Linked DNA regions of Stegostoma tigrinum. The protein of the gene in region 2 binds, or shares a complex with, the protein of the main gene of each other region. Links are inferred from orthologs where the notes say so. Each region holds a gene or a part of one and is shown on either strand. Other genes may lie near its edges.

What was found.
Region 1: the proteins of plekhm1 (region 2) and microtubule-associated proteins 1A/1B light chain 3C are in contact, whole or in part, in a crystal structure (PDB 5DPW), measured with the Homo sapiens proteins. The link is inferred for Stegostoma tigrinum from reciprocal best matches to the Homo sapiens genes PLEKHM1 and MAP1LC3C. Residues at the interface, in NP_055613.1 of Homo sapiens: Glu632, Asp633, Glu634, Trp635, Val636, Asn637, Val638, Gln639, Tyr640; in NP_001004343.1 of Homo sapiens: Phe13, Arg16, Lys17, Glu25, Ile29, Phe33, Lys36, Pro38, Asp54, Lys55, Thr56, Lys57, Phe58, Leu59, Val60, Pro61, Glu63, Leu64, Ile72, Arg76, Phe114.

The regions. Positions count from the first base shown.
Region 1 is NC_081395.1:6,216,291-6,223,585, reverse strand, and holds the start of microtubule-associated proteins 1A/1B light chain 3C, read right to left. Parts: upstream 3,015-7,295; 5' UTR 2,809-3,014; coding exon 2,751-2,808; intron 2,543-2,750; coding exon 2,487-2,542; intron 1,078-2,486; coding exon 971-1,077; intron 1-970.
Region 2 is NC_081384.1:31,550,704-31,557,858, reverse strand, and holds the start of plekhm1 (pleckstrin homology domain-containing family M member 1), read right to left. Parts: upstream 3,019-7,155; 5' UTR 2,914-3,018; exon of another isoform or gene 2,815-2,913; intron 1-2,814. UniProt on the Homo sapiens protein: Acts as a multivalent adapter protein that regulates Rab7-dependent and HOPS complex-dependent fusion events in the endolysosomal system and couples autophagic and the endocytic trafficking pathways.

The DNA of each region.
Region 1 (7,295 bases), on a different chromosome or scaffold from region 2:
GGTGGTGGGAGTTAGAGCTGCATTAGAGATAGGTGGAGATGTTTCAGGGATGCAAGGTTCCTCTGCTGTCAATGGTCAGGACAGCAGACATTGCAATGTAGAAAAAGGATTCAGTTGGAATTCCAGAACACAGGTCAAGGAAAGCTTTGGAGAAGGTTACAGAAAAAAAAAGTGTAGAATTGGGAAGTGGTCTGGGAGGAATTGAAAACAAGTGGAGAATTTCAACATTCAGGTGTTGCCTGATTCAACAGGGGGTGGGGGGGAAGGAAACAGGAAAACAAGACCATTAGCTTGAGAACTAAATTGCCAGAGATTGATGAGACTTAAAGACTGAATTTGGATAATCAAGTCAGTTGGGCATCATCCTGATTAGAGGCAAAATAGGGGCAGGAGTGAGGATTTCAGCAGATGAACTGGGAGACAGGGTGTCCTTAGGGACATCAGGCACTTATCTCAGGGGCCAAGCGTGACACAAAGACTGCAAACAGACCAGATTACTCACGGGCAGCTGGTAAGGAGAGGGATCAGAACCGAAGGCTTCAGTCCCAATAAATCCACATGCCACTAAATAATCCCCATTATCTGTCATCCTCCCAAGCCACCTTATCCACTCCTCTGGGCTCTGTCTCCACCTATCACTTACTCCTCAACCACCCTCCCCCCTTTATCTTATGCATAAAATTTGACCTTTTCCTAGCTACTAGTCCTGAAGAGGTGGTTACCGGACCCAAAACATTAACTGATTTCTCCTCCACAGATGCTGCCAGACCCACTGAGATTTTTCAAGAGGCCAATCAGTCAGTCGCTACAACTCAGCCCCCTCCCCAGTGTCCTAAAGACCATCCAGGGTATTGGGAAGCCCTACACATCTCCCCCTCCCTCAAGCAGGTGCCCACTCTTTCCTCCCCATGACCTCTAATCCTTGGGAGGAGAGCAGTGGTTATGGGAGATTTAACAGGGTCAGCTGTACCTGATAATGATCATGAACTGACATAGGCTGAGTTCCAGAGGTACAAGGTATTTTGACCTGTCCAAATGAGGTAGGGATCGCTCCTTTGGGTATCGTTCCACAATCACCTGAGAGATAGAGATATCAGGATACACACATTCAAAATGCCATGAACAGTCACTAAATGCCAACTCTATCTGCAGGGGCCAAAAATCCCCATTTACTCCCATTCCACCTCCTGTAGGATTAGCCAAATGGATAGGAAAAACTGGAATCCACTACTATTCTGGGGGAAAGAGGTCACTTGACCAGCTTTTCAGTATCCTGGCCACAAGAGCCAGTCAGAAGTTGGGAATCCTGCCATGAGTAACCGATCTCTTGACTCCCCAAAACCTGTCCGTTGCAAGGCAAGGGTGGGATGGAATACTCCCCACTTGCCCCTGGATGGGGGCAGCCCCAACACTCAAGAAACTCAATACCATCCAGGACAAAGCAGCCCCCCAAGTTGGCACTCAGTATTACATACCACCTACAAAAGATGCATTGTAAGATCTCAAAACTCCTTAGATAGCACCTTCCAAACCTATAAGCTCTACCATCTACAGAATCCATCCCCTGTGCATTCCCCTCTGAGCCATGCACCGTCCTGACTTGGGAACAGGAATCCAGCCTCACTGGGACAAAATCCTGGAACACCGTGGAATGATACCGTGAAGGCAGCTCAGCAGCACCTCCTCTGGGCGCATTAAAACACTGTCCCAAACCACATTCGTTACTTGAACTGAAAATGATTCGTTTCAAGGGCAAAAAGTTGGATCAGGTTGTAGGTTTGGAATCGCAAATAATGATGGCAGATTTCCTTCCCTTAAAAGGAAAGGGGGGGCATTAGGTGACCCAAAAGAGGTTTGAAAATCAAGTCATTGTGGCTCTAACTTTAATATGTTCCAGGTTTATTACTGACTCATTCCGTAAGTGGAATTTTGACTAAGTCTCTCCCTGAGGGATCTGTTTATTTCTCAAGGCATTGTACGGAACACCTCAGAAGGTGACAGTTCCCAGTTTCTTTTGGGGGGGCGGGGGTGGTGGTGCTAGAAACAAGGCAAACATTAGCTTTAATAAGTCCTGGAGTTTTTAAATACAAGCAGATTTGGTTATTCACTTGATGTTTAAATTCTAATACCCTGGTGTTGAATAAAAACACAGGAAAGATTGTTATCCGGGAAGAGTATCGTCCTAGTAAATACGCACTTATCCGAGTGTAGCGTGTTCTGGCTGGTGCAAAGTTACATATTAAAAACAAGCAAACGTCATGGCGTTAACAAGTTCTCTGTAGTGAGGACCTAACAGGTTTAGAGTCGTGCACAGAGGGTAGACTTAATCGATTATTCTTTTCACATTTGCAGAAGGGAAGGGATTTAAACTAAGAAAAAGCAAGGAGGATCACATTGCAGCTGTACACCGTTTCCTGGCACACTAACCGCCCCCCCTTCCACCTCTCAACATTTTAAATAACAATAATAAAAGCTTTTTGACTGACCGGTAGCTTGTTGGGGTACTTCCTGCGGATGTTAATTACTTCACTTCTCCTGAAAGCTTAAGCAAAACAAAATAAACAACAAAAAAAACAAACAAACGTGAATAATTTGATTTCTAAACAAAATTCTGAAGTGACTGAAAAGAGAAGCAAGTTTAAACAAAAGGCGTTTAGAACTAGATTTAAAAACAGATTGGAAATAGAGTGGAATTGACGCGTGCATTTCATGATAAGGAAGATTTTCCTAAAAAGAATAAAACCCCTCACCCAAACTACGCCTCTCCTTGAAGGGTCTACAATCCAGGGTCCTCTCTGAGGGAGCCATGCCTTTCTCCAAAAGAAACTTTTCTCCCTTCCCAACAGGGAACAAAAATGCTTTCGTTGCCCCTCCTCAGCCACCAGCCCGCGTGTTTTAACATCCCGTCCAAGCAACCCCAATCTTCACTCTAAATTAACCAGTTAAACAGTCGGGCATCGACAATAAGATTTACTTAAGCCATTAGTTTCTGCTGGAGTATTGTTTCAGGTCGATCAGTCTTGCTTTAAGGGGCGTTTACCAATTAGTCTTGTTTCAAGTAATTAATTTATTTACAAAAACAGAAATGGCTGGAAAAGCTCAGTGGATTTGGCAGAACATAGAAACGATGTTGTGCCGAACTTTCACTCCAAACCTAAGGTCTATCAGACCCCCACCTCTACCTTATACTATCATCCTTATGCCTATCTAATAGCCACTTTAATGCCCCTAATGAGGCCGACTCCACTACCCTCTCCGGCAATGCATTCCACACCCTGACCATTCTCTGAGTAAAGAACCTACCTCTGACGTCTCCCCTATATCTGCCCCCATTCACTTTAAAACCATGCCCCCTCGTAATAGCTACCTCCACCCTCAGAAAAAGTGTCTTGCTGTCCACTCTATCTACACCTCGGATCATTTTGTACACCTCTACCAAGTCACCTCTCATCCTTCGTTGCTCTAAAGAGAAAAGCCCTAGCTCTCTCAGCCTTTCCTCAAAATTCTGAGGAATGGCCACTGGACACGAAATGCTAACTCTGCTTTCTCTACACAGATGCTGCCAGACCTGCTGAGTTTTTCCAGCAATTTCTGTTTCTGACTTCCACACGTCTTACGGTTTTAGTTAATTTGTTACATTTCATTGAAGGTCAACTAGAAGTTCGTTGAAGGATCTGGTGTGATGATGGTGTGGTTTCCTGTAGAATGTGGGGCTCACAGTAGGGAAGCGGCCATTCAGCCTGTCCTGCGAGGAAGATATACCCAAATTGTAGCCCCAGCATCTCCCCTACTCTTTTTACGCAGCACCTGAGCACTGACCCTCCGACAGTGCCCACTCCCTCAGCACTGACCCTCCGACAGTGCCCACTCCCTCAGCACTGACTCTCCGACAGTGCCCGCTCCCTCAGCACAGACCCTCCGACAGTGCAGCACTCCCTCAGCACTGACCCTCCGACAGTGCCCGCTCCCTCAGCACGGACCCTCCAACAGTGCCCGCTCCCTCAGCACTGACTCTCCGACAGTGCGGCGCTCCCTCAGCACGGACCCTCCGACAGTGCAGCACTCCCTCAGCACTGACCCTCTGACAGTGCCCGCTCCCTCAGCACTGACTCTCCGACAGTGCCCCCTCCCTCAGCACTGACCCTCCGACAGTGCCCACTCCCTCAGCACTGACCCTCCGACAGTGCCCACTCCCTCAGCACTGACTCTCCGACAGTGCGGCGCTCCCTCAGCACGGACCCTCCGACAGTGCCCGCTCCCTCAGCACTGACCCTCCGACAGTGCCCGCTCCCTCAGCGCTGACCCTCCGACAGTGCCCGCTCCCTCAGCGCTGATCCTCCGACAGTGCGGCATTCCCTCTGGACAAGGATTGTGAGCCTGGATGAGGAAGCAGAAATTCCCAAGAACTCTCTGTCTGTGAGGTGGGAGTAAGTTAGTCATTTTGGAGAGGAGTGGATTGTGGGGAGTTGTAGTCTATCGCTTCCTACATTTCTTTACCAGTTGTGATTCTGCTTGAATGATGCAGCATCTTGTCACTAACAGCCTAATACTGCTGATAAGATTCTGGTTGCAAAGCTGGGACCTTCCTGTGCAGTTTCCTATAGCCTTGTACTTCCATTCTGCCCCTTCCAATCCAACTGCTGATACCTCCCCGTTCCCAACATAATAACAGGTAGTGAATATTCACCAACACCTTCATTAACACCTCCCACCCCAACTTTAAGTTCACCTGGACCATCTCTAATACCTCTCTCTCCTTCCTGGACCTCCCTGTCTCCATCTCAGGCAACCACCTAGAAACTGATGTCCATTTCAAGCCCACTGACTCCCACGGCTACCTAGAATACACCTCCTCCAACCCACCCTCCTGCAAAAATACTATCCCCTATTCCCAATTCCTTCGCCTCCGCTGCATCTGCTGCCAGGATGAGGCATTCCACTCCCGAACATCTCAGATGTCCTCGTTTTTCAAGGACTGCAACATACCCCCACAGTGGTTGAGAACACCCTCAACCGTGTCTCCCTCATTTCCCACAAGTCATCCCTCACACCCCGTCCCCACAATAACAACCAAAACAGAATCTCCCTCGTCCTCACATACCATCCCACCAACTTCCGGATCCAACGCATCATCCTCCGACACTTCTGCCATCTACAATCCGACCCCACCACCAATGACATTTTTCCATCCCCACCCCTGTCTGCATTCCGAAGGGATCACTCTCTCCATGACTCCCTTGTCCGCTCCACACTCCCCTCCAACCCCACCACAACCCGGCACCTTCCCCTGCAACCGCAGGAAATGCTACACTTGCCCCCACACCTCCTCCCTCACCCCTATCCCAGGCCCCAAGATGACATTCCACATCAAGCAGAGGTTCACCTGCACATCTGCCAATGTGGTATACTGCATCCACTGTACCCGGTGTGGCTCCCTCTACATTGGGGAAACCAAGCGGAGGCTTGGGGACCGCTTTGCAGAACACCTCCGCTCAGTTCGCAACAAACAACTGCACCTCCCAGTCGCAAACCATTTCCACTCCCCCTCCCATTCTCTAGATGACATGTCCATCATGGGCCTCCTGCACTGCCACAATGATGCCACCCGACGGTTGCAGGAACAGCAACTCATATTCCGCCTGGGAACCCTGCAGCCCAATGGTATCAATGTGGACTTCACAAGCTTCAAAATCTCCCCTTCCCCCGCTGCATCCCAAAACCAGCCCAGCTCATTCCCGCCTCCCTAACCTGTTCTTCTTCTCACCTATCCCCTTCTCCCACCTCAAGCTGCACCCCCATTTCCCACCTACTAACCTCATCCCGCCCCCTTGCCCCATCTGTCCTCCCCAGACTGACCTATCCCCTCTCTACCTCCCCATCCATACTCTCCTCTCCACCTATCTTCTCCTCTATCCATCTTCAGTCCATCTCATCCCCTTCCCTATTTATTTCAGAATCCCTTTCCCCTCCCCCATTTCTGATGAAGGGTCTCGACCTGAAACGTCAGCTTTCCTGCTCCTCTGAAGCTGTTTGGCCTGCTGTGTTCATCCAGCTCTACACCGTGTTATCTCAGATTCTGCAGCATCTGCAGCCCCTACTATCTCCTGTGAATATTCTCATCCTCTCAAAGACTGCAGCAGATTGAGGGGAGTGCTGCTCCACCACACCACCCGGTGGCTGCAGCCTGCAACTGCAGTGTGACGGTTTACATAAATAAATCAAACTGTGATGTGCAGATTTTGACAGAGGAGGGAGGTTGTGACACATTAGTAAATACTGTGCTTCTGAGCCAGGAGGCCTAATTTGAAGACTCGTCTGCCCTGGAGCTGAGTCATATCTGGTTTTAAAAAATTATAACGGCATCCCTTGAGAATACACTGCCCAAACAACATGGACAGTCCTCCTACTCAGAATGTTTCCTTTGGCACTAAGCAGTTAACACCTCTCTGTGTGCAGCACAACCTCACCTCTTGGATGGGGACACAAAATAACAATGGGTTAGCAGAAAGGACACCATTCAGCCAGGATCTGATCAAGGGTCCCAACCCAAAACGTCCACTTTCCTGCTCCTCCAATGCTGAATGATTTGCTGTGTTCCTCCAGTTCCTCTGAGACCATTCAGTATCCTACTTTGTGTCTTTCCCACTGTTGTGTGAGCGCCCAGGACTGTTATATCCCCACAGGATACCCTAGGGCAGTGCAGGGCAGCATGGTGGCTCCGTGGTTAGCAGGTACTGCCTCACAGTGCTCTGGGTTCAATTCCAGCTTTGGACACCTGTCTGTGAGGGAGATAGTAGGAGCTGCTGATGCTGGAGAACCTGAGACAACAAGGTGTAGAGCTGGGTGAACACAGCAGGCCGAGGAGCAGGAAAGCTGATGTTTTGGTTCTGGACCCTTCTTCAGAAGCCTGTGAGGGAGTTTTGCACATTCTCCCGTGTGTTTCATCTAAGAGCTTCCACCAGACCAAAGGTGTGCAAGCTAGGGTAGATTAGCTATGCTGTAGTGTGCGCGGTGGGATGCCCTTCAGGGGCCCAGGCTGGGCCAAATGACCGCTACCTGCACTGTAGGCATTCTATGAGTTGGGGATGGGGCCAGTCATAGGAAGAAATGTAGACTATTCAGCCCATCAAGCTTGGCCCAGATCTCTGAATAAAAGGGAAATAAAAGTCTTAAATAAATTTCTCAATAAGGAAATAATTTATCCCAGATTTAAAATTGACAACTGGCTCCCACATCCTCCACTGTTTGGGAAAGAGAGTGTATGTGGTGTGTGGGAGGATGTCACCTCCACACAC
Region 2 (7,155 bases):
GCTACGTAATTTGTGACTGATGAAAACCATTTCATTATTGCATCATAAAAAAAAGGAAAAGACCTATGTCAATCCTGTCTGCTCCCTTATTGGAAATTAAAGAGCAGATTCTTACCACCACTAAATTGCAAAACTTCACTTACTGCACAAATTAAGCAACACACAAGCATTTAATCATCCGAGTATCCTACACGGCAGCCCTTTTATGCATTTCTGCAGGAATTAACACCATGAAAAATTGCCTTTTCAGGTCATTTCTATTTTATAGAATCATTGAATCCCTACATGACAGAAAGAGGTCACTTGGCCCAATGAGCATCCCATCCAGACCCACACTCCCACTCCATCCCTGTAATTTCACATTTATCCACCTAGCCCTCACATCCCTGGTCTCTACTGGGCAATTTAGAATGGCCGATCAACCTCACCTGCACATCTTTATGGGATAACTGTGGGAGGAAACTAGAGCACCTGAAAGAAATATGAGGAAGAGTCACTGGATTCAAAACGTTAACTGATTTTTTTTCCACCAATGCTGCCACACCTGCTGAGCTTTTCCAGCAACTTCTGTTTTTGTTCTTGATTTACAGCATCCATAGTTCTTTCGATTTTTATTTCCTAGGCACTGAGGCAGCAGTACTAACCACACTGCAACTATGCTGCTCATATCTTTCTTACCTATTAGTTAACATTAGCATCAATTTACAATGGTACAGATTTTAGCTTGACTGTAAACTTTTCTGCTAATGTTGTACTGCGATTAAAACAGGATGTAGGAGCCTTGCAGTGAATTCCCAAAAATCAGTTGTTACGGCCACTTAAAATTTCACCTCAAAGGATCAGAGCTCATTGGAGTGATATATAGACATGGATAGAAAACTGACTAGCAAATAGAAAACAGAGAACCAGGATAAATGAATCATTTGCAGTTAATAAACAATGACTAATGGAGTAGTTCAGGATAAATGCTGGAGCTGAACTATTTGCATTCTATATAAGCGAATGAAGGGGCCAACTATATTATAGTCAAATTTGCTGATCATCAAGTGGATAGTAGAGCGCCTCAAAATGATACAAATATCTGCAAAGGGGTATAGACGAATGACAAAAAAAAATTGCAGATGCAGAATGACGTGGGAAAACGTGAAACGTTCCACTTTAGCAGTAAGCATAGAAAAGTAGAATTGTTTAAGTAGAGGGAAAACAGCAGAATCTTGCAGTTCAGAGAATCTGAGTGTACATGAATCTCAAAATTAGCATGCACATACAGCTAGTATTTAGGGAAGTAATTGGTTGTTTCCTTTGTTATAAAGGAATGTGGAATATAAAAACGGAGAAACCTTGTTTCATTCAGGGCATTGGTGAGACCACACCTGGATCAGTGTAGTTTGCCTTCCTGATTGAAAGATTTAGCTGTATTGGAAGCAGTGACAAGGAGGCTGATTCGTTTATTTAGTATATTACAGTTTACATGAAAAAGAACTTTCTACTGATTGAATTTTTTTTATCCTTGCTGTTGCATAATAAAAAATTGGCCCTAAAAGTCATAAATTCAAGTTATGAATTTTAAAAGCCTCTAAATGAAAACAGAAGGCAATGCTTAACCCAATGTTTCATGGCCATGATTAAAAATATCAGATAATTTTGATTAAAGTACAGAAGACCCCAGGCTGCCAACAACCACAACTCAGCAATTTAAAAGTTAACTAAAGGACAGACTAAGCAGGTTGACTTAATAAATCAATATTTTTTTTCTCCTTAATATAAATACAAAGAACTACAGATCCTGGATATCTGCAACAAAAAGTGCTGGAGAAACTTAGTAGGTTTGGCAACACCTGTAGAATGAAAACAGATTTAGCATTTTGAGTCCAAAACTGACTGGGGAGTGGTTTTACCCTCCACTGATGCTACCAGATCTGCCGCATTCCTCTAACATTCTGTTCTTGTTTCTTTTGTAATTTTATTGGCCAATTAACTGCCTGTTCTCATGAAGTGTTATCAACTTGCTGAGGTACAGATCCACAAGTCTTTGCAAAACTTGGCTCCCTAATAAAGCAAGTGAGCTATTTGACTACAAGGAGGCTGATTCCTGGTTTGAAGGGTTACATACATACCGTTAGTCTTTCCAATAGAGTTTGTTTAAGAGACCAGTGATATGAGCACATCTTTTCCCCAGTACAAGACATGATGACGGTTATTCTTACTGAAATCAACAAACCTAGCAGGGCACAGTTCCAATAAGAATGATAGAACCAAGCAGATTCCTCGTCTGTAGTAGTGTCAAGCAATAGAGGAATTTCAACAAGGCAGCCTTCACGATTCTTTTCTCCCAACTTTACAGCGTGTTAATGAAGTTGAACAAAGAAAAAAAACTTATCAAGAGTTTAACGAAATTGAAACTGTCCAGAACTTTGCTCCTTATGACGTGGAGTTTAACACAGAGGCTCCAACTATCATAAATATATGTAAACTGAGTGTCCAAAACATTAATTTGAAATAAAAAAAATCATAGTCTGGTTAATAATACCGTAACTCTAATCAGAAATTTAGAAACATGTCCAAAGACTAAGAAAACTCTTTATCCGACAAAGCAATACTGTTGAGAAACTTTGAAGAGCGTAGCAGATCAGATTAGCTATGATATTACAAACAGGGAGTAGGAGGTTTCATTGACAAAACCAACTTCCCGTCTTTATTCCTGTTGGTGCCCAAGGCTGCTGGATCTCAGGCACTGAACTTCGGGGTGACAGATACAGAGATATAAAGGAATTGAAATCTCCGAGACCCATCCGAGGAGGCTTCAAAGCTCACCTGTCCCAACGCCCTCTAACACCATCAGCTCCTCCCAAATACCCAAACCGCTTCTTCTTGCCCACAACTCGCTTCACTTGCCATCTTTTCTCCCCTTACCCCCGCAGATCCGAAGCTTTCAGGCTGTCAACACCCTCGCCAAAACGACAATACCACCGCAAAAACAGACTCCTCCAATATCCCAGGGCACACCGCGAGAACAACTTTCCTCCTCCCATGGACTCCGCCACTATCCCAGCGCACACCGCGAGAACCCCAACCCGGTGAACGGCCTCCACCTAGCGGTAGGCTGCAGTATCTAGCCATTCGCTCGAGTCCTGTTTTACACCCGCCTACCCATGTCACTGTTCTCAGAGTTTGAAATAATCAAACTTTACTTTCAAAACCATGGCGCTTCATCTAGTTCTGATGTGACCTTTATGTACCTTCTTGGAGAAGTTTTATTCTGCATCATTTTCGGTGTGATTGGACTGAGTTCAACTAGCACCGCCCCATCTTCCACCAGGATGCCCTCTGTGATAGACCAATGTTGCTCTGTGGTCAGTTGTGATTGCTATGTTTTATCAGGCCACGCCTGGATCAGTTATACCAGGACTATTCGTAACTGCTACCGTCCCCTCCTATCTGACATAGTTTTGGTGATGTTCTTTAAACCTAGATTTTGTATCTCTTGTAACCATAACTGAAGTATGACATCTGCCAGCCCCACTTTTGTTTCTCACTTGTATCTCAGAGTGCAATTATAACACCACAGCCTTGAAAGTTACCATTTAATCTTGGAGGAGCAAATTTCTCCAGGTGTGGAATCTGTACTGATAACAGAAAAAAAGCTGGAGATCACAGTGGGTCAGGCAGCATCCATGGAGAGAAAGCAAGCTAATATTTTGAGTCTAGATGACTCTTCAAAGCTGAAATGAAATGTGGAGGGAATAACATTTATGCAGTAATGAGAGGTTTGGGGGTTTGGAGTGCTGGGGAGAAAGAATGTTGATAGTTCAGGAACCATTGAGTCTTTTGGGTGTTCCGCACAATTTTTGTACATTTGCTTAGTGTGCAATGATTCCTTAGCAATTTTTACAGAATGTCTCATATCCATACACAACTGCTAAATGTTCTGTTTCTATGTTAGCATTTCTGGTCTCAGCTGATATCAAAGTTTTGGATGTGAATGCTAGCGATCTTCTCGATTGTACTAAGGCTGTGCCTAGTCCTTCTGTGGAAGTACCAATTACAAAACAACAGATTTCTTTCTATTGTAGTACAAAGGCTTGTCCCCTGTGCTACGATTGCAAGTTTCTTGAATTTCCTCTGATGTGACGCTGAGCACCAGTACTCAATATCTTTTGTCACCAGCTCTCATAGATGTGCTGTGCTTTCCAACATAATGATATGAAGAATATTCAAGGTTGAGATGGGCAGATTTTTAATAAATATGGCAATCAAGACTTAATAGGAGTCAGGCAGGAAAGTGTAGTTGAGGATTATCAGATCAGCCATGATTTCAGTGAATGGCAGAACAAATTCGATGGGCCAATTTACCTACTTCTGGCTCTTACATCTTATTGTCTTAGGGCGAAGTGTGAAAAGACTCGTCTAGGTTCACACCAAGGAAACTTGTCAATTCTTTCATGTCTCTTGGAACTTCCACCTGCAAGATAACAGATCTTTTTAGAACTCCACCGTTCGTGTACTGCATACTGAAGAGCAAGTGTTCTGTCATATTTGCAATGCATTTCTCTCTGTTTAGCTTTATCTGAGTTCTTCTGGTTCTCTCCATGGTTCATGTATATGGTGATCATGATTTTTGCATCAACACCATACATGTGGATATCATTAGCAATGCTAAGTGCTCTTTTACATTCTCTGTTTATCTCACCTATTTTCTGTTGACATTCTGGCTGACATTAAGGGGAAGAGGTAGATGCAGGAAGTTTTATTAGCTGCAACTTATTTAGTTGGCTTTTGAATATTTTCATTCATCACAATGGAATTTACCAAAGCTAGGGCTCTGTGAGCCAAGCAATCAATTTCTCACTTCTGATCAGAGGGCAGTTTTCAGTGGGTATACTATCTTCAATCTCACTGTCATTTATTCATTTCATGATTTATTGAGATGAGCTGCAATTCTTCACAAGTGCTCAACTCCAGGATTCCCCTGATTGGGGATGTTCTGAGCTGTAGAAAATCAGTTCCTTCTATGACATTTGGTCAGTTTCGGAGTATCTATCGTTGGGCAGATAGTTTCTATCAAATTTCCTAGAACAATCTTCTGGTTTGGTCTTAGCAGAATACCATTACTCTGTAATCTGGTATAGAGCTTCTGCTTTATATATATGGTTGTGGGCTTATTTCTCACCCTCCTGATGGGAATGGTTATATGATTTTATATTTCCTTGGAAAATATCACATCCAGACATTTCATTCTTGCGTTTGTATTATTTGGTTGCATTTTTCAATCTTGTTAAGAAATTGTGAACAGGCTCACTTGCTTCCTGCTCTGAAATGCCTGTTGATCATAGAATCATAGAATCCCTACAGTGTGGAAGCAGGCCATTCAGCCCATTGAGTCCACACCATTTCTCCAAAGAGCATCCCACCAAGACCCTCCCCTCTACCCTATCCCTGTTACACTGCACTTTCCATGGTTAACCCACCTAGCCTGAAAATCCCTGGACACTGTGAGCAATTTAGCATGGCTAGTCCATCTAACCTGCACATCTTTGGACTGTGGGAGGAAACCAGAGCACCCAGAGGAAACCCACGCAGACACTGGGAGAATATGCAAACTCCAAACAGATAGATGCAGGAGGGTGGAATCAAACCTGGGTCCCTGGCCTTGTGAGGCAGGAGTGCTAACCACTGAGGCAGCATGCAGCCCTAAATCCAATGAGTTGACTTTGGCTGGGGTTATATGCGAAATACGACAAGGATTTTGTCTGTATTTTCAGTGTCGTCCTCACTTGACTGTCAGTTATTTTGCAAGTTTAACACCACTTTTCTTGTCCACAAAAGCTGATCCTTTCCATTTTGTTCAAGGTAACGATTGCCAGTTTCCACTTTTGTCGGGACTTTTCAAATGTTCCGACAACATCTTCAGCTTTCCAATTCATCATGAAGTTGTTGTGTGTTCATTGTCGTAGTGCTTGCCATTTCACTTTCACATAAATCACTCAGCAGCTTATCTCTTTGCCTGGCATGATCTAAAGTTGTTTGCAGTTTGAAGAGTGGCAACGTAGGGTAGCGAATGACTACTGGGGAGGGAGTTTGGTAGCAGGTGTGGGTGAGGAGTAAGGTGGCATGGATTGGGGTAGTGGAGGGAGATGGGTGTTGGGTCAGGTTGGATGTGCCAGGTCAGGAAATTGTGGAGTCAGGTTAGATTGAGGTGTCTGTCTAGCCAGGAAGTATTTCATCAGGAAGAGGGAATGTTTGCTGGGGGTGTTATTGTCAGGCAGGACTGATATCAGCTTTCAGGTCAGAAGTTTCAAGTCAATGGGGCTGCAAGGCCAGGAGTTCATCGGGGGAATGTTGGTAAGAATGGGCCAGGGTGTCAGGTTGGGGAAACTCATGTGAACAGCTCAGTGGTTAGCACTGCTACATCGCAGTGCCAGGGACCCCAGTTCGAACCCCCCCCCCCCCCCCCCCCCCCGCCCCCACCCGTCCCCGGCGATTGTCTATGTGGAGTTAGTAATTCTCGCATATCCACATGGGCTTTCTCTGGTTTCCTCCCATAGTCTAAAGATGTGCAGTTAGGTGGATTGGCCATGCTAACCTGCCCATAGTGTCCAGGGATGGACAAATTTTGAATGAGAAATGCAGGGTTACAGGGATGGGGTGGGTCTTGGTAGGATGTTCTTTGGAGGATGAGTGTGGATTTGATGGGCTGAATGACTGCTTCCACACTGTAGGGATTGTATGATTTAATGAAATATCGGGCTGGGGAGACATCGGGATGGAATGGTATTGGTTAGTGGTTTCCTGGAATGAGGTTGGGGAGTGGATTAGGAATATTGGGTCATGAGGGGTAAAATCAGAATGTACTGTGGAGTTTGGGTTGAGTGGGTTTGGGATGGCTTCAGGGAGAGTTGGGAGATCAATGGATTGTTGGCGGAGGAGGGGCACGCTGGTGCGTAAGTTTTACAATTACCCAGGAGTTATGGCAGGTTTACATTCCTCTAATCTTTCCTAAATTACTATCCAGGTAAATAAATTGGAACAGTGAAGTCTCCAACCATAACTGTGACTCAGAATTAAGGTCTCTTTCAGGTGGTTGGGGAAGGGGTTGGTGGTGGCAGCATTCAAGGTAATTACCGAGGGCGGATTTTAACGTTTTAACAACAGTTG